Macaca fascicularis: one gene and its partners. The main gene of each other region encodes a partner of the protein of the gene in region 2 in a complex. Links are inferred from orthologs where the notes say so. Each region holds a gene or a part of one and is shown on either strand. Other genes may lie near its edges.

Region 1 (4,693 bases), on a different chromosome or scaffold from region 2:
TGAGATTAAACGTCTCTCGTGTACTGCCTGACAACTGAAGCCAGCTATATTAGACGGGAACGTGGAACATCACTACATACTTGTATAGTGTTCACTTTGTGGTATGAATAAATGTGTCTGTGAGATGCTCCAAAAAAAGAGGAGAAACAGCAAGTAATCAGGACAGACCAAGGAAGCAGATATGAGGGGCAGAACTAGGGGGTGCTATCCAAAAGGCCTCCTCCTACAGCCTCCTCATTCTCAGATACAGATGTGATACCCTGAATCCTGCCACCCCTAGGCTTCCTCTGGGTTCAAACTTATCACCCTGGTTTGTCTATGTCTTTATCAATAAGCATGAATTATTATTCTGGGTAAGGTGTCCACTCATTCATTCAACAAAACATTTGAGTATTACTGTGTGCTGGATATTGTTCCAGGTAACAGAAGTATAGCAGCAAAGGAAACAGAAACCTTGACCTCTTGAAGCATGTGTGCTAAATGACACATTTAGTATGTGATTTTAAAAAGGGGGGGCGTGGGAGTGGTGGCTCACGGCTGTAATCCCAGCACTTTGGGAGACCAAGGCAGGTGGATCACAAGGTCAGGAGTTCAAGACCAGCCAGGCCAACATGGTGAAACCTCGTCTCTACTAAAATACAAAAATTAGTTGGGCATGGTGGTGTGTGTCTGTAGTCCCAGCTACTCGGGAGGTTGAGGCAGGAGAATTGCTTGAACCCAGGAGGCAGAGGTTGCAGTGAGCCAAGATCACACCACTGCACTCCAGCCTGGGTGACAGAGCAAGACTCTGTCTCAAAACAAACAAACAACAACAACAAAAAGGCATTATTAGGAAATAGTTAAATAAAGATGTCAGGGATTGGGCCATGCACACATCTGGGGGAACACGATTCCTGCAAAGGGAATAGCAAATTCAATGGCTCTTGTACGGGCAGAGGGTTGGAGGAACTGCAATAGGGCCAGCGAGGCTGAAGCACAGAGAGACAGGAAAAAAAGGAGTTAAGAGACGAGAGAGTTAACAAGCGGCCCAAGTCATAAAGGCCATTGGAAGAACAGTGGCTTTCGCTATAAGTGACAAGGAAAGTCACTGAAGTTTCTAGCAGAGACAGATGTCATTTGACCTATGTTTTGACAGGATCACTCTACTTGCCACACAGAGCCTGGCATTCAGAAGGTGCTCAAGAAATGACCAGTTGAAACTGCCTAAAAATTAACCAAGCCAGGTGCGGTGGCTCACGCCTATAATCCCAGCATTTTGGGAGGCTGAGGCGGGCAGATCATCTGAGGTCGGGAGTTCGAGACCAGCCTGGCCAACATGGTGAAACCCGTCTCCACCAAAAATACAAAATTAACTGGGCGTGGTGGCACATGCCTGTAATCCCAGCTACTCAGGAGGCTGAGGCAGGAGAATCACTTGAACCCAGGAGGCAGATGTTGAGGCAAGCCGAGATCGTGGCATTGCACTCTAGCCTGGGCAACAAGAGTGAAACTCCGTCTCAAAAAAAAAAAAATTAACCAGAGTCGGGTGCAATGGCTCACTCTTGTAATCCCAGCATTTCCAGAGGCTGAGGTGGGTGGATCGACTGAGCCCAGGAGTTAGAAACCAGCCTGGGTATGTGCTGAAACCGTCTCCATTAAAAATACAAAAACTAGCTGGGTGTGGTGGCGGGTGCCTGCAGTCCCAGCTACTTGGGGGGTAAAGTGGGAGGATCACTTGAGCCCTGGAGGTGGAGGCTGCAGTGCGATGAGAGCTTGCTACTGCACTTCTGGAGACCCTGTTTCAAAAAAAAAATTAACGAGAAACCAGCCCAGTGCAGTGGCTCACACCTGTAATTACAACACTTTGGGAGGCTAGGCGGGAAGATCACTTTAGACCAGGAGTTCGAGACAAGTCTGGGCAACAGAATGAGACCCTGTCCCCAAAGAAAAATTTAAAAATTAGCCAGGTGTGATGGCACCTGTAGTCCCCATGAGTTGGGAAGTTGAGGTGGGAGGATCGCATGAGCCCAGGAAGCCAAGGCTGCAGTTCAGCGGTGATTGTTCCACTACACTCCAGCCTGGATGACAGAGGGAGATCCTGTCTCTAAAAAGATAAAAAAAAAAAAAAAAAAAAAAAAAATTAAAGAAAAACCAACAAAAAATTAACCTGAAACCCCAGCATCTCTTGCAGTTCTGAGATGGGACAATTTGAGGGTAAAAGGTGTTGGTGAAACCTCCAAATAGAATAGGGACAGAACTTCTCAGCTGAAAGGGGGCCTATTCCTCAGTCCAAGAGAGAGCCAGACAAGGAGATGCACTCCTCCACACACACTTTATAGACCAAGAAACTGGAGCACAGAAACGTGAATTGATTTGTCCAAGGTCAGCAAAGGGTCAGCACCAGAGCAAAAGCAAAGGGTTAATAAAGAAATATCCTCTCCCCGCTCCGCAGCAGCGTCGGAGACTTTCTGAGGTGAGATGCATGCTCCTGCAAAGCGTCAGCAGTGACTCACATCGATTCCAGGGACAGCGGCGCCAGCCCGGGCCCCCCGTTGGCGTGGGCCTGCTGGGAGGCGGCGCCGCGGGAGCGACTCGCGAATACAGGCCGCAAATGACAGGCGGGCGGCGCGGGAGACCCATCTGGAATCCCCGGCGGACTCGCACCGCCTCCGGTTGACAACGATGCTAATATGAGACGCCACTGCTAGCAGCTGCAGGCTGAGCTGCTCCGGCGAGTCAGACGCCCTTTAAGCCTCGGTTTCCCCATTTGTGAAAGAAGCCAGCGCCGCCCAACAACCCCACTCTCACCGCCACCCCGGGGCGCTCGGCCATCGAAGACTTAGTGAAGAAGGCCGAGGGGGCAGGCAGAAGGTGCACTGGGGCGCCACGCCCTCCTCGCCCCCACCCCTCTTCCAGGCAGGTGACTGTGAAAGGAAAGGGACCCTGACTCTACCGTAAACAGGCGGCGCCGCCGCGTGGGGGTAACCGAGCACGCGCCTCCGCCCGGTGGGGCGGGGACGGATTTAGGGTCCGGGTCAGGCCGGGGTCGCCACCTCCAGGTCCAGCGGTCCAGATGTCCAGCTGGCTTGTCTGTCAGCTCTCTCGCGCTCGGGGCCTCACGCGCTTAGCACCACCTGCTCTCCGCACCGCGGCGGATGATGGCGGAGGAGGAGGATTTTGAAAGCCGGCAGTTTCTTTGCTTCGATTTGATTTGTTCGAGGCCCCGGCCGGCTTGCCCTCGCCCCGCACGCGCGGCCTCTCGGGTAGGGTAGTCCCGTTCCCCAGCTGGGGGCGCGACAGGGCGCGCGCCGTGAACTACCCGTCCCATGGCGCACCGCGCGCAGAGCGTCCTCACCGCCCTCCTCTTCGCCCTCCCCTGGCGGCTTCTGGGTCTTTCTCGCAGAGACCGCAGGGCGGTGTTCAGCCGGGAAGCACCCAGAGACTACAATTCCCAGAATGCGTTGCACCCAGGTCCCTCAGCTCTTCCGGAAAGGTTTTGTTCGCGTAACTTTGTTGACACAGGTACTGCTGGCTGCTGGGTCTCTTCCGCAAGACACAGGTATCCATTTGCCCAGATAAAGTGCTCTTTTCCGTCCCATGAAACTGAAAGGGCATTCGAAGCCTTCCACATAAATATGCACAAATTACCTGATAATTAAAAAGGGGAAATAGTAACTATCGTAGAGAAACTGCAGACACCGCTTGAACGGCCACGTTAACATCAGCAGCAGGACAAGCTGACATTCATCGCACGCTTTCTGTGTGATGCACTGAGAAAAACACGGCGTCACCGTCCGGTCTACAACCTTAGCCTAATCACGAGAAACCCAAGCTGAGGGACATGGTACAGAATAACGGATCTGTACCCTTCCCGAAATGTTTGTATTATGTTAGACAAAGAAAAACTAAGAAACTGTTGCCGATTACAGGAAACGAAAAAGACAACTGAATGCAATACATGGTCCTGGATCGGATCCTGGGTGGGGATTGCTATAAAGGACAATACTGAAACAGCAAAATTTGACTGTATATTAGATAATAGTATTGTATCAATGTTAAATTTATTAATTTCGATTATGGTACAGGGTTATGTAAGAGACTGCCCTTGTTCTTGGGGAAAAAGAGATGAAATAATTAGGGACAAAAAGGACATGATGTCAGCAACCTTTATGGTTAAGAAATACACATATACATAGAGAAAGCAGAGACACAAATGTGGCAAAATGTTAGTTAATCTAGTTGAAGGATATGGGAGTTATTTGAACCTTTTTGCAACTTTTCTGCAGGTGTGAATTTAAGCATAAAAACACAAACAGCGTTTTTTTTTTTTTTTTTTTGAGACGGAGTTTCACTCTTGTTGCCCATCTCGGCCTCCCAAAGTGTTGGGATTATAGGCGAGAGAGTTCGAGACCAGCCTGGGCAACATAGTCAAACCCTGTCTCGACAAAAAATACAAAAATGAGTTGGACGTGATGGTGCATGCCTGTAGTCTCAGCTAAGGGACTGAGGCAGGAGGATCTCGAGCCTGGGAGCTTGAGGCTGCAGTGAGCCATGATCGCACCACTGCATTTCAGCCCTGGTGACAGAGCAAGACCTTGTCTCAAAAACTTAAAAAAAAAAAAAAAAAAGTTAAACAGATCATGCAGGCTGGGCGCGGTGGCTCATGCCTGTAATCCCAGCACTTTGGGAGGCAGAGGCGGGCGGATAACCTGAG
Region 2 (3,751 bases):
GTGAATTCTAAAGCAGGTAAAGCATTAACTGGTAGGACTGACTTCAGGAGAGGTAAGGGGGAGTTCTGAAAAGCAGTATGCACACAGGTGTGTGATCTCAGGATGCACGTGTCACCAGAGCTTGCAAGACCTTGTAGGAAATGTGGAGCAAGAGAGATGCATCAGATGTTTTTTGAATTGGACTCTGACCCCTTAACTAAAGATAAGGTTTCCGTGCTGAGGTGCGGTTTCTCCCCAACATGCCCTAGGCTTCAAGGGTAAAAGGTGCTGCAGGGAGTTAGGATGGCTGCTGTCCTAGTACAAGGTCTGCCTCACACAGGGAGAGCTTAGTCTCACGTTATCCTGCTGGGCAGGACAGCCCTGCACAGCCCCAACGTGGCAGAAAGCATCATACACGATGTGTCAGTTTGCCAGCAAGAAAAGCTGAATCCAACCCTCACCCCATTTGCTCAGCGGGTAATTTTTTGTGTTCCTGATGTTTTTGCAGAAGAAACCAGAAATTCTCTGTACTTGAGTTCCTTCAGGTGAACAGTTAGCCAGGAAACCAGTCCTCTTTGGAGGTTATTTTGGAGTCTCATCTTTTCCAGACATTTTATGATTAAAAAAAAAAAAAAAATTCTATATGGGTTTAAAAAAAAAAAAAAACTGGCTCTCACACAAATTGAAACTGCTCTCCAACATTTTGCCCGCTAATTTACCAATGTTTCACATTATATCCACACAAGACCCATGCGTTAACTATGCTTTTTCTTAATGACGTTGCTCGAATAAGCTATTACTAGTTTGCAGTAACTTCGTATAAAGCTTTCATTAGATTTCAAAAAAGGGAGAGCCAACTTTTCCCATATGTACAATCTGGAGAGAAATGACCCCTTCCCCACCCCACCCCCCACATAAAAGATAATAATCTCTGCTAACTAGTCAGTATTTCCTAAAGCAAATACTACAGATGATTCAAAAAATCCAGGCAAAGTCGAAGCAATATATTTTGCAACAATTATTCTTTCAATAAATGACTTGTAAATTCTCTCCCACACCATGTTAGACAGGTAAGCGACGTCACTTCCAAATTTCAACTGTTACATAGAAGATCCAGAATGTCAACACCACTTGCAATCTACACAAGGTTACAAACAACACATACACCTTCAATTCAAAATATCTGAATGAAAGGTTTCATCCCAATTATGGGAAAAAAACTTCCCATCTCACAGGCTGGTTAGAAACTGGTTCTGAATACAGCGTAACATACACAGCAATTCAGATCTTAAGAAACTCAACTGTTGCCAGTTAATACAGTAAGTAGAACTTTATTCAGCTTCACCCTTGTTTCATTTTTCCATATATGTAAGTGATCCTTTCTATACCTTTTAAGGTAAGTAATCACCTCAAGATAATCAGACATCTAAAGAAAACTTTGGTAAACTGGACTATAGTAATTGTATGAAAAAAAAATAGCTCTTAAGATTCCTAACTGCTACAATAGTGTTGATGGGATCAAATCCTAATTAGGATAGAGACCTAATTCATTTTTAAATGTGGGAAATATACAAGATTAAATGCTTAGTTTGATAAAAATAAAGGTTTCACCAACTGTTCTCCATTGCTGAGAAGCCCCCACACTGCCCCACTATGCGTATTCCTAGTATTTCATCCATGTCCTGCTCTGCTGTGCTGCCCTACAAAAAAATCCTTAGGAGGAAAAAAAAAAATAAACGGTGTAGTGTGTACTGCTTAAGAACTTAATGTCCAAGACATCTTTAAAGTCCGGGAGTACCTGAAAACCGTGGGTAAACATGGACCATTTTCCTTGCGTATCAACTTTACACTAAGCATCTAACATTCAAAAAGTGCAAAATTTGTACTTAACAGCAAGAATTCCCAAGCTCCTGCCATCCACTGATATTCCATCCTGTTTGAAGTTCTACATTAAAACATGATTACTTTTGCCATAAAACAAAAGTATTACCCTTAAAATATCTATTTCATATATACAAACCACATTATTTTTTATTCTGACAGGTCACAAATTTTGAGCAAGTTCTTCCCTAGGTGACCCTACCTAGCCAAAATGAAGGTGGAGCAAACATTGCTTTAGCTTAACTGCACTAATATTTACACCATGTGACCCTTCTAACCAAATAGAATACTGCTGATCTGCCATAATCAGTTTGTGCGACATGGCTCAAATGTACAAAAATAAAAAGTAGACATAGGGAGAAATTAACCCAATAGATTTCAAATTAAGCGATAATAGCAAGGCAATTCAAATATTAACATGGCATAAAATTTCCCTATTTTAGCGATTTCCAAATGCTATTTATAAACAAGGGATGAGTTCACTTGCTTAGATATTTGAAATACAACTTTATTCTGATTCTAAACGAAAAGGAATGGGAATGACAGTAACAAAACAAGATTTCACCACTGAATATTGTGATGTGACTGTAGCAGTCTTATATTTGAAACTCAAGGAATCAACTGCGTTCCAAAACAACTAAATATGCAGGTCCAAACAATGAAGGTATTTTTTAAACTGCCACATTCACTCCGAAGCCCACTCATCTCCTTCAGCATCCCACAGATGAAGCACATGTTCCGCTTAGCTAGATAATAATGAGGTGGCACACACGCTGCACCGCTGACATCACAGGACAGCTGCCTATAAAACTAGACTTCTGACGCTGGGCTCCAGCTCCATTCTCACAGGTCATCATCCTCATCCGGGAGAGCAGTTGTCTGAGCAACCTAGACGAAGAGATGAAAAAATGTTAACACTCCAGATCAAAACTGCCAGGAATATACAAGTCAAACGTTATAGCCTAGACAGCAAAGTGGCCGTAATACCTCTAAGTCGTGCTCATACTGCGCTGCCAAAGCTGGGTCCATGACAACTTCCGGTGGGGCAAGAGCAGGCATGGCAACAAATTCCAAGTTAGGGTCTCCAATGAGCTTCCTAGCGAGCCAGAGGAAGGGCTTTTCAAAGTTGTAGTTACTTTTGGCAGAAATGTCATAGTACTGTTTAAAAGAAAATAATTTTTACCTTTTAAAATTCATTAAGATGACGATTTTTCTAGGACATGGCAAGACAAGAAAATGTTAAGATTCTTGGCAAGGCATGGTGGCTCATGCCTGTAATCCCAGCACTTTGGGGGGGGGCTGAGGTGGGAGGATTGCCTGAGGCCAATAGTACAAGATCAGGCCTGGGCAACAGAGCAAGATCCCATTTCTACAAAAAAACAAATTAGGTGGGCATGGTCTTGAATGCCTGTGGTCCCAGCTACTCAGAAGGCTGAAGTGGGAGGACTGCTTGAGCCCAGGAGTTCAAGGCTGCAGTGAGCTATGTTCATGCCACTGCACTCCCGCCAGGGCAACAGGGCAAGACCCTGTCTCAAAAAACAAAGAATATATAAATACACACACGTATCTCAGTTGACCAACCCGGACAACAGTGAAACCCCATCTCTATCATTCTTTAAAAACAATAGTATAAAAAAAGACAAAATTATTTCCTGCCAGCACAGTGGCTCATGCCTGTAATCCCAGCACTTCAGGAGGCCGAGGCAAGTGGATCACTTAAGGTCAGGAGTTGGAGATCAGCCTGACCAACATGGTGAAACCCCGTCTCTACTAAAAAAAAAAAAAAAAAAAGTACAAAAATTAGCCAGGCGTGGTGGTACATGCCTTTAATCCAGCTACTAGGGGAGCTGAGACAGGAGAACTGCTTGAACCCGGGAGGCGGAGGTCGCAG
Region 3 (4,160 bases), on a different chromosome or scaffold from region 2:
CCTGCTGGTATACAGCCTGCTTCTCTGCCTCAAAGGATAGAATATCATCCTGAGAGAGCCAGGGAAGACAATTAGCCACCTCACCAGCAGCCATAGAAGCCCATGATCCACCTTCTTCCACCACAGCCCAGTCCTACTGGAGGTCACACAGACACACCTGCAGCGTGTACCAGAAGGTGAGGGTTAGGGAGCTGGTGGTCTCATTGACAGGATAGTGGCCAGGGATGCCTGTGCAGAACATAATCATGTTGACAAGTGCCAGGAAACTCTGCCAGTGCTCTACTTGGTCCAGCAAGGCCCTGGGGAGGAGGAGACACAGTCAGGTCATTCTACCTCTCCAGGGACTTCCATAACCCCACCTCTTAGAGGGCCCTACTATCCCACCCCCAGCTGCTCCACCCCTTACCGGGAGTGGTTCTCGCCCAGGGCCACAGCGATGCGACAGATGCCATGGGAGGTCTCCATGTCCCCGTTCTGCACTGCCTGCCGCAGTTGTTCCTGCAGACCCAGCACCAGCGGGATGAGCTTCAGGAGCGTGTTCACGTACCTAGAGGCATGAGGTAAGAAAATCCATCAGAGCTCTCTGCTCACCCCCACACTGGCTTTAAGAGAAAGGCATAATCTCCTTGTCTTCCTTCAAAGCTCCCCTCCCCTTATTAAATCCTAAGCAAAACAAGGGTCAGGGTCTACATGGCAGATTTGATGTTCCCTATGTTGGGAAGAACCTTAGGTCAGAGCCCCCAGAACTCTGAGAGGGAAGTATGAGAAGGCTGGTATTACGGGTTGAATTGTGTTCTCCAGGTGGACTGCGAGCTGATTCCAGAATGGGTGAAGATTTTGTTTTTTGAGATGGGGTTTTGCTATGTTACCCAGGCTGGTCTCGAACTCCTGAGCTCAAGAGACTCGGTCTCCTGCTCAGCCTCTGGAGTAGCTGGGATTACAGGTGTGAGCCACCACGTCCAGCTAGGTTACAACTTCTGGGGAGGTTGAGATGAAGTGAATATAGTTTGCATGTGGTGATAACATGAAGTTTGGGGCGCCAGAGGGCAGACTCGCATGGGTCAAATTATGTCCCCACAAAAAAGATACGTTTTTTGATAAATCCTAATCCCCAGTACCTCAAAATGTGGCCTTATTTGGAAATAAGATAATTGCAGATGAGGTTATACTGGAGTAGGATGGACCTGAACTCCAATATGACTGGTGTTCTTATAAGAAGACATCCATGTGAAGACAGAGACATACAGGGAGAATGCCACATGAGGACTAAAGTAGAGAGTGGAGTGATGCAGCTGGAAGCCAGAGAACACTGAAGACTGCCAGCAAACCACAGAGCTAGCAAGAGGCAAGGACGGAGTCTCCTACAGGTTTCAGAAGGAGCTCAGCCTTGCCAACACCTTGATTTCAGACTTCTAGCCTCCACAATTGTGAGACAATGAATTTGTTTGGTTTTAAAGCCACCTAGTTTGTGGTACTTTGTTATGGTAGCCCTAGGAAACTGATACAGTCTGGCAGGGGTGATTGAACAAGAGTGGGAGACAGACGAGTAAACACAGGCTCAGAAGCCCTGATTAAAAAAAAAAAAAAAAAAAAAAAAAAAAGATTTTGGAAGGCAGCAACAGCTCATGAGAGCATCAACCCCTGCCATCCACTCTACTCTCTACCACCAAATCCCAACTCTTGAGGAGTCTGGTGGCAGCACGGAGGGAGAGAAGTAGATAATGAACTCAGAGCTAAGAGGCCAAACAGACAGGATTTGACGACTGACTGGATATGAGGAAGGCGAAGAATAAAGGCAACTCTCAGGTCACTGGCTAAACAACTAAATAGATGGTGGAGCTATTTACTGAGACCTGTGGGGTGAGGAATGGGGAATAGCAACACCTTTAATGGGAGGTGGAAGGTGATAAGCTCAGTCTTAGATAAGTTGATTCACAGACACCTGATAGGTTATGCAGGTAGAAGCATCTAGAAAGAGTTGGATATAAAACCCTGAAACCCAGCATAGAGGTTAGAGCAAAAGCCATAGATTTGAGAGTCATCAGCTAACAGCTGGTAATTGAAGCTACGGGAGTAGATGAAAATTGCCCAGGGAGAATGTGTTGAATGAGAAAAAAAAATAAGAGGGTCCAGATCAGAGCCCTGAAACACAACGATCTCTAAAGGAGAAGGATAGATAGCCCAGTATACGAAGGGGACTGAGAGAAGCCTGGCTCAGCCCACTGGATCCCTCTTCAGCACCTTGGTCTGTGGAGATGAGACTAAGCAGAGGAAGCCACGCTCTAACAGTAGGGATCAGGTGCTTGGGACCCCTCTGTTGTCAATCATAATGTCACCATAGCAATCTATTTTAGGGAGTGGGGGACTGAGGATCCCAGAAGGAGTTCTATCTGGACTTGCCCCAAGCAGGTTGCTAGGCAGTAGCCTCATATCCTTGGTGGGAGGATGAGAATGACAAAAAGAGGCAACCAGCCCAGGGACATCGGCCTCCTTCTCCACATCCCCATTCTGGTAGGAAAAGTCATCCATGCCAGGATATCCCCAGCCCAGAGACAGCCCCAGGGGGTGCTGCCTGGAGACGGCTGGGATAGCTTCAGTCTCCTGACCCTGACACGGGCTGCACCACCAGACAATGGGCATTTTCAGGCCAGACTCTGGCACAAAGACAAGAGGCAGGGCCAAGGCTATGGCCCACAAGCTCCTCAGCAACTGAGATGGGTGCAGGAGGTAGCGCTCTACCCCCATAGCATCTCCACTGTATTCTAAGGCTCCTTCCTCCACCTGCCAAAGTTTATGCAGACGGCAGATACTCAGTGAAGGTTCTTAATGTGTCTCATCTGAGCCTCATAATAGAACAAATCAAGGATAATACAGCCTCAAAGGGCTCAGAGTATCATATCACTCAAGGTCATACAACTTAGAAGCAGAATCCAGGTTGAAACTTCCCCTTAAACTGCTACAGGTCTGCTTTTCTTTCAGGGCCCAACCAGGATTTCCCCAAAGGATCTATGTGCATCTCAGCCCATATCTCCAGTGCTAACTGATGGGAGCCCCCAACAGCCTGCCTAATTCACTTTCCCTCCCTCCCTAACTCCCAAGGAAAAGCTTTTCCAGCATTAAAAACATATTTCTGGAAAAAAAATACATTTCAAAGGAGAGAGCCAGGAAGCAGCAGCAGCTGTGGAGGAGCAAGAAAAGGGTGACTTGAGTGCAAGCTTAGCTAAGGGGAGGGCCAATGTCAGGACACCTGGGGAAGGCGTGCCTGGATGACCCAGGAGTCAAAGCCACTGAAGGTGACTTTCACAAGCCAAAGCTGGGAAACTAGACTGGGTAGAGCAAGGACCAGGCTCGGATTCTGGGTTGGATGCAGCTCACCCATGGGAAGAAGTTCCTGCATAGATTTCCTACCACCTGAGCACCTGTGTCTGCGACCTGTGAGTGGACAGAAGAACAAGTCTGAGGTCCCAGAGGTTTCTAGGTTTGGGGGAAGGAGACAGGGAGGATGTCTTTACGACCACAGCTGAGGCTGGGTTCAAGAGGCCTGGCTCCAATCGGTCAGTTCAAGTAGCTGAGGCAGGGCTGCTGGGACTCCTCCGCTGCTGCTCACACGGAGCTCAGCCCAGACCTGCAATTAGAGCTTCACTTCAGGAGCAGAGCTGAGAAAATGGGGAGAGTTGCTAAGCAACCAAGGGGCTGCAGCCAATGGGCGCCAAGGAGGCTGTGGGTTACCTCACTGGCTCCTTGCTCGCTCATTCGTTCAGAGGAGAAGGGGCATCAATTACCTGCCAAAGCCCTTGAGACTGGCTGGGCGGGTAAACTTGGGTGTATCCAAGGACACCTCACATCACCCACACACTTGCCCTGATCTGTTTCCCTTAGTCACCAACTGTCGGAGCCCACCCAGCACTTGAGCTTCAGGCTGCCAAGAGAGGCCTTGATCTGGGACTAGGTATCCACCTTAAGCTGGAAAGCCTGGGAAGCCGGGGGATAGGTATCATAATAACTGCCAACACAATAATGAAACCAAATACTGGCAACTGCTGTTTACGGAGTACATAGGAACCATGCTAAAAGCTTCACGTTCTCTTATTTAATCCTCATACCGAAACAATCTTTTATTTTTTAAAATCAACCCCAATGTTTAAAAGTTTTAAAAGGCA
Region 4 (4,746 bases), on a different chromosome or scaffold from region 2:
ATATATAATCTAGGAAAAAAAACTTTACGGGCAATATGCCTAACAAGATTCATTGGCAAGTTAAAAGCTGTAAAAGCCTGCCCATTCCCAAATAAAAAAGAATTCTAAGAGAAAAATGAGCTACTTCGCCAAAATATGTACTGGTTAAAACCTACTAGTTCATATGCAACGCTATCCTTTTAAGAGGATTCTACTCTAAGATGCTGGCACACATCCAACTTTTTGTTGCCCAGAATTATAAAAAATATCTTTCCTCTGCTTTTCTTCAAAGCCAATGCCACTCAAACCTAACTGGTTAAGTCAGTAGTCCTTAACCTTTTTTGGGGTCTAAGATGCCTGAGACTCTGAGGAACCAATAGCTCTAACCTAGTTTTTAAAAACTCATGATTCTGTATACAATTGTAGAGGATTCAGGACATCCTGAAAGCCATCCATGGCACCCCCGGTTTAGTGTATTTAGAACTAACAAGGTCAGATCTCCGCTTCTTCCCATTTTAGGAACTTTCATGGACCAGAAAATGAGTAGCTAATTTCTTTACACTGTATTTGGACAAACTAGCTTGGCAGGGGGGAAAAAAGGCGTTAATTCCTGGCTATTTTATAACAGCTTAAAAATGTCCATAATAATGGCAGCAATTTCAATTTTAATGCAAATGTCTCATTTAAATATAACGTCTGTTACAACAGATTAGAACTCCAAAAAATGAGTCACCTATGACTGACATGATGTAAAAATAATGTGAAACTCAAGAAATTAGGAGTTCAAGAATTGGTCCATTATTGACAAAACTGATGAGACTTCAAAATATTTTGTAGTAGGCATTAAACAAACTTTTTTAAACAGCAGGATACTTGTTACACACCACAAAAAAAACCCTTAAGATCTAAAAACTGAGAGGAAATATATATTCCACAAATGAATGTGTAAACTCTCCACCTTCAACTACTATAAAATTTAAAAGATCAGAACAATCTTAATTATTTGAGGCTTAAAAGCAATGTCCACAAAGCATCAAGATCTACGTATCAGAAGTTTTCAAATATTTCGGTTAATTATCGAACAAACTTTTCACCTATTTACTCCTACAATAGTTTAATGCCAAAACAAAAAAGGATTAAGAAAATGACTCTTCCAAGTTTCACTTTCAAATACACTGTCCTTATAGAATTCTCCGAACTAGACTGATGTGAAAAACGAGATTTAGAATAGAAGGATTTAAATACAGTAGTTTGCCATCCTTAGAACTAGCGGCTGTCTTCGAAATGACCTACCTATTCTTGAACTGTACATAGTACAGAAATGGCGGCTTTGTGGTCAATGCCAAGCACATTTAGTCCCCCAAACCAAGCCGCTTCCAAAACATTCTTTCCACTAACAGCAGCGTCCCACACTTAAGATATACAATCAGACAGCAAACAAGTCAAAGAGGGAGAGGTGTAACCACGAACGCTCATTCCCGTTGGGCTCTTCAATCCTAAAATCCACTCACTGGATAACATACACTAGGGATTATCCAGCTTAATGGATAATGTTGTGACTCTACAAGTGACCCCCAATGCCAGTTCCTATCCAAAACCCAGGAAATCATAACCGTTGCTTAATAACTTCACACTAGGTGAAAAAAAAAAACAAGTCGCTACAAGGCGAAAGACTGACTGCTCCTTAGGTGTGTGGGCAACCGCCTGCTTCATTCAGGAGAAACACACCTCACTAGGGCCCGCCCTCCCCTGGCTTCCCACCCGAACCGATTTGCAGCCCTTCTAACTATAGCACACGGGAGCACGCACTCACCCCGCCCATACTCGGAGGAGGCATTTAGACCAGGCGCCTTAAGTTCAACGCCCCTTTCTCTATGCAGCATGGCCTCGGCGTGATCAGAGGAGGTCCGGGCTGAGCCAGTAATGAATGCTTCCTCTACTACACCACTTCCTCCCACCCAACCCAAACTCAGACATCGGAATGAAGGAGAATCAGGGCATCCTCCACTGTACGAGGCCAGCAGTAAATGGTTTAACCAACTTATCACACACAAACCCCTGAAAAGGAACTACAAGACGGAATCCCATGTGCAGGCCCCTGAAAAATTCATCTTTCCTACTTCACATGCCACTCTGCAAAAAACCGGAGAGCTTTCGAGTTTCCTTGCTGGAGGAACAGGGAGTCGGCAGCCCCTCCCTCCCCCATCCCAAGCTCTCCACCGAGGGGGCCACGTGATGCAGGCGGACGTTTCAATGCTGCTGCACTAAATATTTCTGGAAACTTCCACTCCTAATAATTTACAGAGATGTTCCTGAAATCACCCCAACTTCTCCCCAGCCCGTGGGGCTGGGGAAGCCCTTCCACCCCGCGCGGGGCCCCGTTTCACTATCACGCTCCTCGCCTTCCTCCACCGCCACCCGCACACGCGAATGACCCAGCAAGCGCTCCCCTCCCGCGGCCGCCTCCCCGCCTCCATCCCCCAGCGGCAAAAGCGGCTCCATTCAATCGCAGGCTCCGCTGTGGGCCCGGCGCGCCCCCGGCCCGCCCGCCGCCTCCTGGGCTCGCTTCCCGCGACCGCCGCGCCCCACGCTGGCCTCCTCCCGCCCGGCCGCGCCGCCGCCCGACCCTCGGCCCCAAAGACACAGTCGACTTACCCAGAGATTGAACCAACTGCTCCTTCCTTCCTTGTCGGGGGATTAGGGCCAGGGAAGGTGGGGAGGGGGAGAGGGGACGAATCAAGGTGGGTTTCACAGTTTTCCCACCTTAAAAAAAGAAATTAAAAAAACGGAGAGGAAAAGGGCAAAAAGAGCTCAATAATATTTACTATTTCAGGGACGCTTCCCCCCAACACACACACCCACCCGCCCCCCAAAAAAGAAGGGGAATTAATCTGGGGAATAAATGCTCCCGCCCGGCTGGGGAGTGAGGGAAGGGGGAGGGAACCGGGTCAAGTCCCAAAGATTCAGCCCCAGGGGGACCCTCCAGCCACAGGCAGCAGCAGAAGCGGCAGGAGTAGGGGGTGTAGAGTCCACACGGCCGGGGGGACGCTCTGCTGCCAGTTGCAGTCCGACTCCCCCCTACCAAAACACGGCTCCCTCTCTCACGCGGCTCCGGCGCTGGGCCCCCCCCAGGCTCGCCTAAACTTTCCCCCCTTCTCTTGCTCCTCAGCGACTGGTGGTTCCCCCCTCCCCCTCTGGGTGGTTGCACGGACTGCAGCAGCAAAGACTGGAACAGGCACCGCCGCCGGGGCTGTAGCTACTGTTGCTCTTGCTGATGCTGTAGCTCCCGCTGCTCCTGCCGCGGCCGCTGCAGCCGCTTCTCCCCCTCCTCCTAGTGCCTCAAACTCGGAACCGGTTGAAACCGGTTCAGACTGGGAGATTCCATCTCGGTTGAGTTTTCAGCCCATGGCGCCGCGGAGCGTTTGGAACCTGGGCCTCCGCCCCCAGCCCGCCCTCCTATTGGTCAGTTCCAGCTACAGCCGCGCCATGAGCCTATCTCTCATTGGCCTGAGCGCCAGTCAATCCCACCTCAAGGCTCCACACGAGCCCGCCGCTTCGGCCCCCGCCTCTTTTCAGCAGCGATTTGCCCGCAGAGTGGGGGAGGGGAAGTGGGGAGGGTCGAAAGGCAAGAGGAGAGGGGTGGAGGAGGAGGAGGTGGGACGAAGAGCAGGGCTAAGTAGAAAAGAGAGCGAAGGAAAGCCGCGTGGAGGATTCGTTCGAACGAGCTGTCAATCAAGTGCAGCCCGCCCTCGAGCTCTCGACTTCCCTTCCCCCTGCGGCCCTCACCCTCCCAGTGCCTAGTTCGCAGGCCCGGCCTTTCCCGCCCGCTCATTGGCTGGGCGCCTTCGGTGACGGAGAGGGTGGGGCGCAGCTCGTGAGCTAGTGGCGGCGCGAGTTTGATCGCGGCGCGCGGCGGTGTTCGATCTGCTTCCCGGACTCGGCCGGCCCGCCCCCACCGGCTCCCGCCAACCTGCGGGGGCCTGAGCCCGCGGGAATTAGGATCCGCCCCTCAGATGGGGGATGCGTTCGGAAAAGGGATGGCACACCCAGTTGTTTTGAACTCTCGGAGGGGTGGAGAAAGGAGGGAAAGGAACACTTCCGAGGCCAATTGTAGGCCCCAGACCTCTAATCCATTTTAGAGGCCTGGGTTGGGCCAGGTAGCTGAGAGAGAGGTTGGGGTGAGGCGCAGGGCGTGCATTCTTGGCGCCTCGTGATCTTCTCAGGGTCTCGGAAAATATATCGAAATACTTCTTGGGAAAGTCTTAAAATTTCAACTCTGCCTCCCCAGGCTGGAATTTGGCCGCTTCGACAACCAACCTTTCCTGAAAGCCAAAACATTGTAATCCCAGGTTATTGGTTTGACAGCGCATGTTTTGGCTGGGTGAGCTTGCATGCCAACTGCGTCCCACCTGGTGCCCTTGATCTGCAACACTCAGATTTTCCTTTCACCCTAGCGGCACTTCACATACTAAATCATCACCAAATAGTATTTTCTGTGAAAGTCACATGCACGTTGTCTTTCACGTGGTTGCGTCTCTTGTTTGTTCCCAAGCGTCCTCCAAATCAGCTTTACAGATTGTTCTTTGCTTAAGAGCAAATAGCCCACCAAAATTTACTAGGCCCTTTGTGCCACCAAGAGGTAGATAAATGGTTTATTGAAGTAATACAATTTTCTTTAGCAAATGTTCGTTCACGATGGACTATGACTAACTTCAAAGCACCACTTATTCTAACTCCCCCTCCAATAAAGAAAAACCCAACAACTCA
Region 5 (4,160 bases), on a different chromosome or scaffold from region 2:
TCCTAGACTCAAGTTGTCCACCCATCTTGGCCTCCCAGAGTCCTGGGACAGGTGTGGCCCTGGTTGGAGTTTCTTAAGATGAAATTCTTTAGTCCCTATTCTCTCAGCCCTCCAAAGGAAACACTAACTTTTCTTCTTTCAGTTTTGTGAAGAATTTAAAGAAAAGTGTCCTATCTGTGTCCCCTGTGGCTTGAGGTTGGCTGAGAAAACACAGATTGCCATCGTCAGACATTTTGGCCTTCAGATCCTGGAACACGTTGTCAAGTAAGGAGCTTTTGGACATTACCACTGAAGTCTGAGAGAACATATTTTTATATCTTATATAACCTATAGAGATGCTGTTTAGGTGAGTAGAGAAGAGCAGTCTCCAAGAAGAAAGGAATGATCCCCTAGATGTTATCAGAACCTCACAGGAGCTCTCATTCAAGATTTAACCTTTCTTTTCTTTAGTTTCTTCATCCATGTAAAGTGTGTGGTACATATTACCCATTCAACAATTATTACCTGCCATTTAGCCAATACTTACTGAGCTCTGACTATGTGCCAGTAGCCCTAGAAGCCTTTTTAGAGTAATGCAATGTATAGGTCAGTAAATCTCTCATTAGGCACTGGGGCTTTCTTTTTTCTCTCTCTCTTTCTGAGTTTGTGTGCTTTCTCTGGGTAGTACATCCAAAGTAGGATTATATGAGAATAACTGAAAACCCCTCCTAACTTGATTGTCCTACCCTCAACACCTGCCAGAAGAGGTAGCCTTCAAGACTTAGCCATAGTTTTTCTGGAATTATTTTGTAAGCCAGCACAGAAAATGAGTGATGTCAAAATTGCATTTCCTGAAAAGCAAGTACATTGCTTGCACTTGTTGGAGTACGTTGTTGGAGTTGACCTAGATGTATATTCAATTTTGGCCCATCAATAAAATCATGAGGAGAAACTGATGTGTGGTACAAATCTTGTGCAGATTCCAGCTAATGGACCACTGCATGTATAAAACCTTTTCCCAAGAATTTTTTTGTTAATATTTTGGTTAAACGTAGATCATTTTTGTCCATTTGTTGACGGGTACAAAATCAAAAGTATAATTTCGTAATGAAATCTCCAGTGGAATCAAATGTAGAAATCAGTGCTATTCTCTTGTAAAGGCAAGACTTCTAAAGTGGTTCTATTGACTTTATGCATTTTGGTGGCCAGGTTTCGGTGGAACGGCATGTCTCGATTGGAGAAGGTCTATCTGAAGAACAGTGTCATGGAGCTGATTGCAAATGTAAGGAACGGGTGGTTGGGAGACATGTTTCCAAGGTAGTTTAGGCAAAGCGTGACTTCTTCAATAGAGAGTTTGTGTAAAAATTCACTGGTTCTAAATAGGTCAGACAGCACAAGAAATCATAATTCAGGCCAGGCACAGTGACTCACAACTGTAATTCCAGCACTTTGGGAAGCCGAGGTAGGAGGATCACCTGCGTCTAAGAATTCGAGAGCAGCTTGGGCAATGCAGTGAGACCCCATCTCTACCAAAAATACAAAAACTGGCTGAGCGTGGTGGCCCATGCCTGTAGTCCCAGCTACTCAGGAGGCTGAGGTGGGAGGATTGCCTGAGCCCAGGAGGTCCAGGCTGTAGTGAGCTGCGATGGTGCCATGGCACTCCAACCTGTGCAACAGAGCAAGACTCTATCTCAAAAAAAAAAAAAAAAAACAGCATAATTCAGTATATGTCTCTTACTAGGTTTGATTAATCACTCTTATGCATTGACTTCTATTTTTTAAATTATAAAGACAGGGCAGAGAGGATTAAATATTTTCAACAAATCAGTAAGATTCTTAGATCTAAATCAGATTGAAACACTGTCTATTTTATTTTCTTTTATTCCGAACAACTGCTGTGTGATAATAGTGATGAAAAAGATGCAGAATTTTAAGTATGCGGGATGAATTTGTTTCAAGTATTAGAATATGACTTTTTCTTTTTTTTTTTTTTTTTTGTTTGAGACAGGGTCTCTGTTGCTCAGGCTAGATTGCATTAGCATGATCATAGCTCACTACAGTGTTGAACTCCTGGGCTCAAGTGATCTTCTCGCTTTAGTCTACCAAGTAGCTGGGATTATAGGCATGTGGTACCATGCCCAGCTAATTTTATTTTTGTCTTTAAAGAGACAGGGTCTCACTATGTTTCCCAAGCTAGTCTGGTCTCAAACCCCTGGCCTCAAGCAATCCTCCCACCTTAGCTTTCCAAAATACTGAGATTACAGGTGTGATGACTGGATGACTGTCTCTTTAAACACAAAACAGAATATGTGACTTTAAACATGTTCAAAATTGTAGCCTTTTTTCTTTCTTGTTTTTTTTTTTAAATAAAAGACATGAAAGATGGAATCTGTATCTTCTAATACTTCTGCGTCTTCTAGTATTAGAACTATTGGTAAAATATTCATTTGCTCCTTCATACCCTTCCATTTTACCAGCTACTCACTATACTCCTTATTTCTATACTCTTCCTCCCTGGCCTTCTGCAAACTGAAACAGTCAATATGAGAATCTTTTCATTTTGTAAAGAATAATGATGTCATCGTAGCTCTCTATATGACAGCCTTTTTATTAGGTGATGCAACCCTCACTTAACCTTTAAGTGGAAGAATGATTAGTGAGAATGCAGGACAAGTGACTCAGGCATGAAGAACAGGTTCGTTTGTTCTGTTTGGTTTAAAAGTAGGCCTGCTGATAAATTTTGTACAACTCTACAGCCCGGCTTTTTTCTGGAATTCTGGAATCCCGTCTTGCATATCTCTTAATATCTCTTGTTCTTTTTCAGGGAACATTGAACATTTTGGAAGAAGAGAACCATATTAAAGATGCTCTGTCTCGAATTGTAGTAGAAATGATCAAGCGAGAGTGGCCACAGCATTGGCCTGACATGCTAATAGAATTGGACATTCTTTCCAAACAAGGGGTATGAAACACAGCTATATCAGTTTGGTATACTTTTCCTTGGAACAAACTTCAGGGTTGTTTGATTTTGTTTGTGGGTTTTTTTTTGGCAACAGAAAATAGCCTTTGGATATACATAAAATGAAAAGATATTTTAATTTTTAACTAGCTTATTTCTGTTGGTGTAGGAAACACAGACAGAATTGGTGATGTTTATCCTTTTGCGACTGGCAGAGGATGTAGTGACTTTTCAGACACTTCCCCCTCAAAGAAGAAGGGACATCCAGCAAACATTAACCCAGAACATGGAAAGGATCTTCAGTTTTCTGCTTAACACACTTCAAGAAAATGTAAACAAGTACCAGCAAGTGGTAAGGGATACCCCTACCTATAAAATTTGTATTTTCCAATATGTTTTTGATTAATCTTACAGTAAGGAACTAGGGTGTCTAGGTCAGCAAAATGAAAGCCTATTTTATAAGCAAAAAAGTAAAAAACTAAGAAATGACAGAAAAGCTAGAGCTCATTTTCTTTCTTTTTTTTTTTTTTTTTTTAAAAAAAAGGGATCTCGGCTTACTGCAGCCTCCACCTCCTGGGTTCAAGCAATTCTCCTGCTTCAACCTCCCAAGTAGCGGGGACTACAGGCATGTGCCACCACGCCCAGCTAATTTTTGTATTTTTAGTAGAGATGGAGTTTTGCCCTGTTAGCAAGGCTGGTCTCAAACTCCTGACCTCAGGTGGTCTACCTACCTTGCTCTCGCAAAGTGCTGGGATTACAGGTGTGAGCTACTGCGCCCAGCCCTAGGTGTTATTCTTATTTTCAGAAATTCCTTATGAAAATACTAATTTTTGAGGCCGGGTGTGGTGGCTCATGCCTGTAATCCTAGCACTTTGGGAGGCCAAGGCAGGTGGATCACAAGGTCAGGAGATCGAGACCATCCTGGCGAACATGGTGAAACCCCGTCTCTCCTAAAAATACAAAAAAATTAGCCGGCCGTGCTAGCGGTTGCCTGTAGTCCCAGCTACTCAGGAGGCTGAGGCGGGAGAATGGCATGAACCCAGGGGGCGGAGCTTACAGTGAGCCAGATTGCGCCACTGCACTCCAGCCTGGGTGACAGAGTGAGACTCCATCTCAAAAAAGAAAGAAAGAAAAAGAAGATACAATTTATGTATTTAATTTTTTGGAGAGGAAGTCTCACTCTGTCACCCTGGCTGGACTGCAATGGCACAATCTCAGCTCA
Region 6 (4,802 bases), on a different chromosome or scaffold from region 2:
ATACATTTTAGTGATTTTTACATTTTATAAGTATGTGCTATTTTTCTGATTACAAATGATATTAAAGTCCAAGATTCTAAAACATAAAGTATGAGAATACACTTTCCATTCGCTGGGAACCCTCTCTTTTTAATGCCCGGCCAAAAATACTTGGTTAAGTTTTGTCATTAATCTTTGTCATACAAACAAAAACAAATACAGGAATACACATAATTCTTTACTGTTCAGAAACCAGGTCTCTATACGGATTCTTTTTTTTTTTTTTTTGAAACGGAGTCTCGCTCTGCCGCCCAGGCTGGAGTGCAGTGGCCGGATCTCAGGTAACTGCAAGCTCCGCCTCCCGGGTTTACACTGTTCTCCTGCATCAGCCTCCCGAGTAGCTGGGACTACAGGCACCCGCCACCTGGCCACCTCGCCCGGCTAGTTTTTTGTATTTTTTTAGTAGAGACAGGGTTTCACCGTGTTAGCCAGGATGGTCTCGATCTCCTGACCTCATGATCCGCCCGTCTCGGCCTCCCAAAGTGCTGGGATTACAGGCTTGAGCCACCGCGCCCGGCCCTCTATACAGATTCTTTTAGCAATTTTTCTACTCATTAACTAACATCTCCGCCAGAGGGTCGGAGAAGTAAGAAGTTGCCAATGGTCACATATGCTATTTAAGATTAACTGTAGGGCCGGCGCAGTGCCTCACACCTGTAATCCCAGCACTTTGAGAGGCCAAGGCGGACAGATCACTTGAGGTCAGGAGTTTGAGATCAGCCTGGCCAACATGGTGAAACCCCACCTCTACTAAAAATACAAAAATTAGCTGGATGTGGTGGTGGCACCTATAATCCCGGCTACTCGGGAGGCTGATGCAGGAGAATCTCTTCAACCCGGGAGGCAGAGGTTGCAGTGAGCTGAGATCGCACCAATGCACTCCAGCCTGTGTGACAGAGCAAGACTCCATCTCAAAACAAAACAAAACAAAGAAAAAAGAAAATTAACTGTGGAGAAAAAAGGGATGGAGCTGAATGCACAAAAACTGTAACAGTAAAATTTTACCTTCTAACTCATACCCACAATGAAGAGACAGGTGGCACAGCAAAATAGTCTAAATAAATGTAGGGGCTTCCACGTTCTAACACACTCATCAGATCAGTATATAACCAAAAGGCAGGGATCTTTGTTTTGTTTACAGATATACTCCAAATGTCCCAACAGCGCCCAGCTCAAACAGCAGGTGTCCTGTCTATCATTAGATCAATGAGCTGGGGTATTGCATAAAGTATTTCAAAAAATACTGAAAGATCTGGCGTCCCAGTTTTGCCATTTTCTAGCTGTGAGAACTTGGGCAAGTTATATTTAATTTTTGTGCCTCAGTTTCTTCATCTGTGGAACAGGAAGTATTAAGAAAGTTAAGATAAACAAAGATTGGCTTAGAACACTGCCTGGAGCAGAGGACGGGCTTAATAAATTATTAAACAAACAAGTGTTATTAGAAGCAAAGGCTATAAACTACCATTTTTCCTCCAAAACGTAAAAGTTGTAGCATGGAAGAATAACTTGGATTACAAACCAGACTTTTAAAAACATTTTACCTAATCCCTATTTTATTTCAAAGCATGACACTTCAGACAATACATTTTACTTCTATGCTACAAGTGGGGGGCGGGGGGGAACCCTCTGTAAAATATTCTGAACAAGGCCTGCCACCTGGCCTTATGTCTAGCTACTATTATGAAGAACTTAAGGGAGGCGGAAGAATCACTTGAAGCCAGGAGACGGAAACCAACTTGGTCGCTACAAAAATAAAGATGGACATAGATTAGATGAATAAATAGAAATAAAAAATTAGCCGGGCGTAGTGGCGCACACCTGTGGTCCCAGCTACCTGGAAGGCTGAGGCAGGAGAATCACTTGAGCCCAGGAGCTTGAGGCTACAGTGAGCTACTACTACACTCCGGCCTGGTGACAAAGCAAGACCCAGTCTCAACCAAACAATCAATAAAAGGGAATTTAAAAAGCGTCTGCGCTTGTGGGTAAAAAACCACCAAATTCGACATGATTTCTAGGTATGAAGCAACGTGGTAGGAGACTGAAAGTCTAGGCAAACTGGAAAAAACATTATTTGTGCCTGATATAGTTATGTGGTCTCTGGCATCTGGTGTAGCTCTGCCCTTGGAGCTCAACTTGTCAACATCAGCTTAAAACGAAAACACGGATTTCGTTATACTTAATAGTGAGGTGCCTTGTTGAAGGGAGAGAACAAGCGGGCCAACTAAGGAGACAGAAATACCGAATCTCCAAACTGTTTCTTAATGGAACCGAGCAAATGGGTGATCAATGACCCGGGAACGCAGTAAGAAAGTGAAGCTAGGCCAGAGAGGTAATGGGCCCAGGAGAAAAGCGACGAGGGGTGGCCAGGGGGAGAGGAGAATCGAGAGGAATCGCTAGGAAGGAAACGGAGACCACCACGCCAGGACAGCCCTGCCAGCCCCCTACCTCCGCCGGGGCCGCAGGGGCGAGCCTCACTCGAGTCGGACGCCGCAGCCTGGCGAGGCCCAGGACCCGCTTCACAAACAGCCCACGCTGCGTCGCCGCTGTCATCCCACCCCACCCTCCACCCGTCGCTGCCCACCCGCGCGCCCCGCCCGGCACGCGCGCCCGACCCAGGCTCCCTCCCTAGGGTCCCGGCCCCTAGCCCTGTACCCCACTCCCCAGTGTCCCGTCCTCCAGCCCCTCCCCAGGGTCTGGTCCCCCGGCCCCGCACCCCTCCCCAGGGGCCCGTCCCCCGGCCCCGCACCCCTCCCCAGGGGCCCGTCCCCCGGCCCTGAGCCCTCACCCCTCTCCCCAGGGTCCAGTCCCCAGCCCTGCACTAGCACTCCCCTCCCAGGCCCGAGCCCGCTCCCGCCCTACCGGCCCTGGGCTCTCAGCACCAGGCTCCCGCCCTCAGCCCCTTCCCCTCCTGCGCCAGCCGCCGCCCCTCACCTCCTCGGCCGCTGCCGCAGCACTCGCTAGGTCTTGGGTGCGGCGAAACCCGGGGCGCGGCGGCGCTGGGGTCTGGAGCGTACTGGTGGTCGTCTGGCTGAGCGCGCTCGGCCGCTTCCGGTGCTGCCCTGAGGGCCTCAGAGGACTTGGTGCTCGGCAAGCCCAGAGACTCAAACACCATGTCCCCGGGGAGGGGGAGCTCCTCACGCTGTGTTCGGCAGGGAGGCGAGAGAGCCGGTTCAGCCCGAGACCGCCGTAGTAACCGCGCCGAACACGCTCCGGGCGGCCATTTTGTAACTCGAATCTACCCCCAAAACCAATTCGAAAAAAAGGGAGGAAAGAAACGCCCGCGTTCAGCTACTGCGCAAGCGCGCCGGGACCTCCGGTAGCAGCGCCTCCTTCCGCCGGCCGGGCCCCTCACGCGGCGCATGCGCCCAGCTCCCTAGAAACCGGCGCCGGGCTGAGCGTGCCCGTCTCGCGCAAGCGCGCACGCGCCGACCTTAATCGCGGAGCCGGCGCCGGCAGCGGCGGCTTGGGGTGTTCGGCTCACGTGGGGCTGGCTGCGCGTCTTCCGGGCTGTTCTCGCGCTAGTCGCTGCTAAGGGGCCGGCCATGCGCGAGGAGCTGCGGCGAGGAAGGTCGGTCAGTGGACATGGCCGAGGCTCGCGGTGTCCGTGTGTGGGAGCTGCAGGGCTGAGGAGAGGCCGCCCGCGACCCTCGGGAATCCTGTGAGGTGCCAGTGGGATCGCTTCACGTCAGGAGGCCCCGCCCCGGGGCTGGCCGTACCTGGCCGGGGTGGCCCGGAGCGGCTGGGTCTCGGCGCCAGGAGGGGACGTGTGGACCGCCTGTTAAAGGACCCCTCGTTCGCTGACGTTTGATTTTGCGTCGCGTGGCTTCTCTTCTGTTTTTTTTTCAGCCCCTGAGATCCCTTAGTGCGTCCTGGGCACTGAGCTTTGTCACCCAGGCTGGATTGAAGTGGCGCGATCTTGGCTCACTGCAACCTCCGTCCCCTGGGTTCAAGCGATTCTCCTGCCTCAGCCTCCCTAGTAGTTGGGATTTCAGGTGCCACCACCGCGGCCCGAACCCGTGTGGAATGTTTCACTTTGACCAGTGTCTGCGAAATAGCGGGGGGCATAGAAAATGGTGCAGTTTGGACTAACAGATACGGCGACATCAAAATGTTTCCTGGGTCTGTTAAGTCCTGGGTTTGTTAACATTATTAATCTGTTCCTGTAACCCTAAATATCTTATTGTAAGGGTAAGCAAAATAATGAACACATTTAATTCTTAATTACACATTGTAGCATGAAATAACTGATGCTTTTCTAATACAAATAAAAAAGATTTATGTCTATAATAGCACTGTAGCTGACTTGAGCCTTTCTGGATGGATTTCACTGCTGACTAAAATGACAACTTTAAACTGGCTATAACTCAGGAGAATGGGGGCACTTTGCACGCAGACATCTACCTCCATTGAATTTGGTTACTTTTAATGAAGCTCAAGTCTCAGGTTATGAAATACTGCCCCAAAGGTGTTAGCCACTTTTTTCCTATACTCTGCCTTTCAAAAATCCCTTTCAATTTGCTTAACCCCTGAGAGCCGAAGGACTTTGATGGTTGTTAGGTTGGGTCATTGTCATCATGTTCAGTAAATAAATATCCAGACATGTCAGTTTACCTACTTGACCTAATTCCAAACGAGTCCATGGTGATGTGATCCTGCCTTTCTTTCTGCTGTTAGAGGTCTATGCCAGGAGCCAGCTTTGTCTCCGTTTTGCCACAGTGATCAAGTCATAAATGTCTCAGATCATTCAAGTCCAGTTTAACCTA

The links.
Region 1: the proteins of RAN (region 2) and RANGAP1 are in contact, whole or in part, in a cryo-EM structure (PDB 9B62), measured with the Homo sapiens proteins. The link is inferred for Macaca fascicularis from reciprocal best matches to the Homo sapiens genes RAN and RANGAP1. Residues at the interface, in NP_006316.1 of Homo sapiens: Asp18, Gly20, Tyr39, Val40, Ala41, Thr42, Leu43, Gly44, Val45, Glu46, Glu70, Lys71, Leu75, Arg76, Tyr79, Asp91, Thr93, Ser94, Arg95, Val96, Thr97, Asn100, Lys123, Asp128, Arg129, Lys130, Lys132, Lys134; in NP_001265580.1 of Homo sapiens: Ser29, Gly58, Asn59, Thr60, Asp86, Thr89, Gly90, Arg91, Leu92, Arg93, Ile96, Asp121, Ala123, Phe124, Gly125, Asp127, Asn151, Cys152, Gly153, Met154, Gly155, Arg189, Asn190, Arg191, Gln217, Asn244, Asp245, Asn246, Thr247, Asp273.
Region 3: the proteins of RAN (region 2) and IPO13 are in contact, whole or in part, in a crystal structure (PDB 3ZJY), measured with the Homo sapiens proteins. The link is inferred for Macaca fascicularis from reciprocal best matches to the Homo sapiens genes RAN and IPO13. Residues at the interface, in NP_006316.1 of Homo sapiens: Lys37, Lys38, Tyr39, Leu43, Gly44, Val45, Val47, Pro49, Trp64, Gly74, Leu75, Arg76, Asp77, Gly78, Tyr79, Ile81, Gln82, Asn103, Arg106, Asp107, Arg110, Val111, Tyr147, Trp163, Arg166; in NP_055467.3 of Homo sapiens: Leu33, Tyr34, Tyr35, Ile39, Lys42, Gln46, Leu49, Met50, Gln53, Glu73, Tyr76, Phe77, Ser80, His83, Ile84, Ile118, Thr121, Arg122, Val125, Val172, Glu175, Glu176, Thr179, Ser414, Asp415, Arg784, Asp785, Pro787, Asp788, Pro829.
Region 4: the proteins of RAN (region 2) and XPO1 are in contact, whole or in part, in a crystal structure (PDB 7B51), measured with the Homo sapiens proteins. The link is inferred for Macaca fascicularis from reciprocal best matches to the Homo sapiens genes RAN and XPO1. Residues at the interface, in NP_006316.1 of Homo sapiens: Lys12, Lys37, Lys38, Tyr39, Val40, Ala41, Leu43, Gly44, Val45, Val47, Trp64, Glu70, Lys71, Gly74, Leu75, Arg76, Asp77, Gly78, Tyr79, Ile81, Gln82, Val96, Pro102, Asn103, Arg106, Arg110, Val111, Glu113, Val124, Asp125; in NP_003391.1 of Homo sapiens: Leu35, Tyr36, His37, Gln43, Arg44, Gln47, Leu50, Thr51, Lys54, Glu55, Asn74, Tyr77, Tyr78, Gln81, Lys124, Val125, Lys129, Met132, Leu173, Glu176, Glu177, Phe181, Gln185, Lys266, Thr269, Glu270, Asp313, Gln316, Asn317, Gln320.
Region 5: RAN (region 2) and XPO5 share a complex: the UniProt entries of both Homo sapiens proteins name them as parts of the nuclear export receptor complex. The link is inferred for Macaca fascicularis from reciprocal best matches to the Homo sapiens genes RAN and XPO5.
Region 6: the proteins of RAN (region 2) and NUP50 are in contact, whole or in part, in a crystal structure (PDB 7MO0), measured with the Homo sapiens proteins. The link is inferred for Macaca fascicularis from reciprocal best matches to the Homo sapiens genes RAN and NUP50. Residues at the interface, in NP_006316.1 of Homo sapiens: Arg29, His30, Thr32, Gly33, Glu34, Phe35, Glu36, Phe52, Val124, Asp125, Ile126, Lys127, Ser153, Asn154, Tyr155, Phe157, Glu158, Phe176, Ala178, Pro180, Ala181, Leu182, Ala183, Pro184, Glu186, Val187, Asp190, Pro191, Ala194, Tyr197; in NP_009103.2 of Homo sapiens: Pro344, Pro345, Lys346, Val347, Val352, Lys362, Cys363, Lys364, Phe366, Tyr367, Lys368, Asn371, Glu372, Phe373, Lys374, Glu375, Lys376, Gly377, Ile378, Lys384, Lys390, Gln392, Leu394, Arg396, Thr399, Asn400, Leu401, Asn403, Ile404, Leu405.

What each region holds. Positions count from the first base shown.
Region 1 is NC_088384.1:10,324,795-10,329,487, reverse strand, and holds the start of RANGAP1 (ran GTPase-activating protein 1), read right to left. Parts: upstream 3,166-4,693; 5' UTR 2,620-3,165; coding exon 2,493-2,619; intron 2,084-2,492; exon of another isoform or gene 1,972-2,083; coding exon of another isoform or gene 1,959-1,971; intron 1-1,958. UniProt on the Homo sapiens protein: GTPase activator for RAN. Converts cytoplasmic GTP-bound RAN to GDP-bound RAN, which is essential for RAN-mediated nuclear import and export. Mediates dissociation of cargo from nuclear export complexes containing XPO1, RAN and RANBP2 after nuclear export.
Region 2 is NC_088385.1:137,993,219-137,996,969, reverse strand, and holds the end of RAN (GTP-binding nuclear protein Ran), read right to left. Parts: intron 3,019-3,751; coding exon 2,848-3,018; intron 2,749-2,847; coding exon 2,704-2,748; 3' UTR 963-2,703; downstream 1-962. UniProt on the Homo sapiens protein: GTPase involved in nucleocytoplasmic transport, participating both to the import and the export from the nucleus of proteins and RNAs. Switches between a cytoplasmic GDP- and a nuclear GTP-bound state by nucleotide exchange and GTP hydrolysis.
Region 3 is NC_088375.1:190,805,007-190,809,166, forward strand, and holds part of IPO13 (importin-13), read right to left. Parts: intron 548-4,160; coding exon 407-547; intron 300-406; coding exon 158-299; intron 50-157; coding exon 1-49. UniProt on the Homo sapiens protein: Functions in nuclear protein import as nuclear transport receptor. Serves as receptor for nuclear localization signals (NLS) in cargo substrates.
Region 4 is NC_088387.1:60,385,471-60,390,216, reverse strand, and holds the start of XPO1 (exportin-1), read right to left. Parts: upstream 3,313-4,746; 5' UTR 2,635-3,312; intron 1-2,634. UniProt on the Homo sapiens protein: Mediates the nuclear export of cellular proteins (cargos) bearing a leucine-rich nuclear export signal (NES) and of RNAs.
Region 5 is NC_088378.1:127,949,867-127,954,026, forward strand, and holds part of XPO5 (exportin-5), read left to right. Parts: intron 1-142; coding exon 143-264; intron 265-1,188; coding exon 1,189-1,261; intron 1,262-2,803; coding exon 2,804-2,941; intron 2,942-3,107; coding exon 3,108-3,290; intron 3,291-4,160. UniProt on the Homo sapiens protein: Mediates the nuclear export of proteins bearing a double-stranded RNA binding domain (dsRBD) and double-stranded RNAs (cargos). XPO5 in the nucleus binds cooperatively to the RNA and to the GTPase Ran in its active GTP-bound form.
Region 6 is NC_088384.1:6,428,250-6,433,051, forward strand, and holds the start of NUP50 (nuclear pore complex protein Nup50), read right to left. Parts: upstream 3,287-4,802; 5' UTR 2,971-3,286; intron 1-2,970. UniProt on the Homo sapiens protein: Component of the nuclear pore complex that has a direct role in nuclear protein import. Actively displaces NLSs from importin-alpha, and facilitates disassembly of the importin-alpha:beta-cargo complex and importin recycling.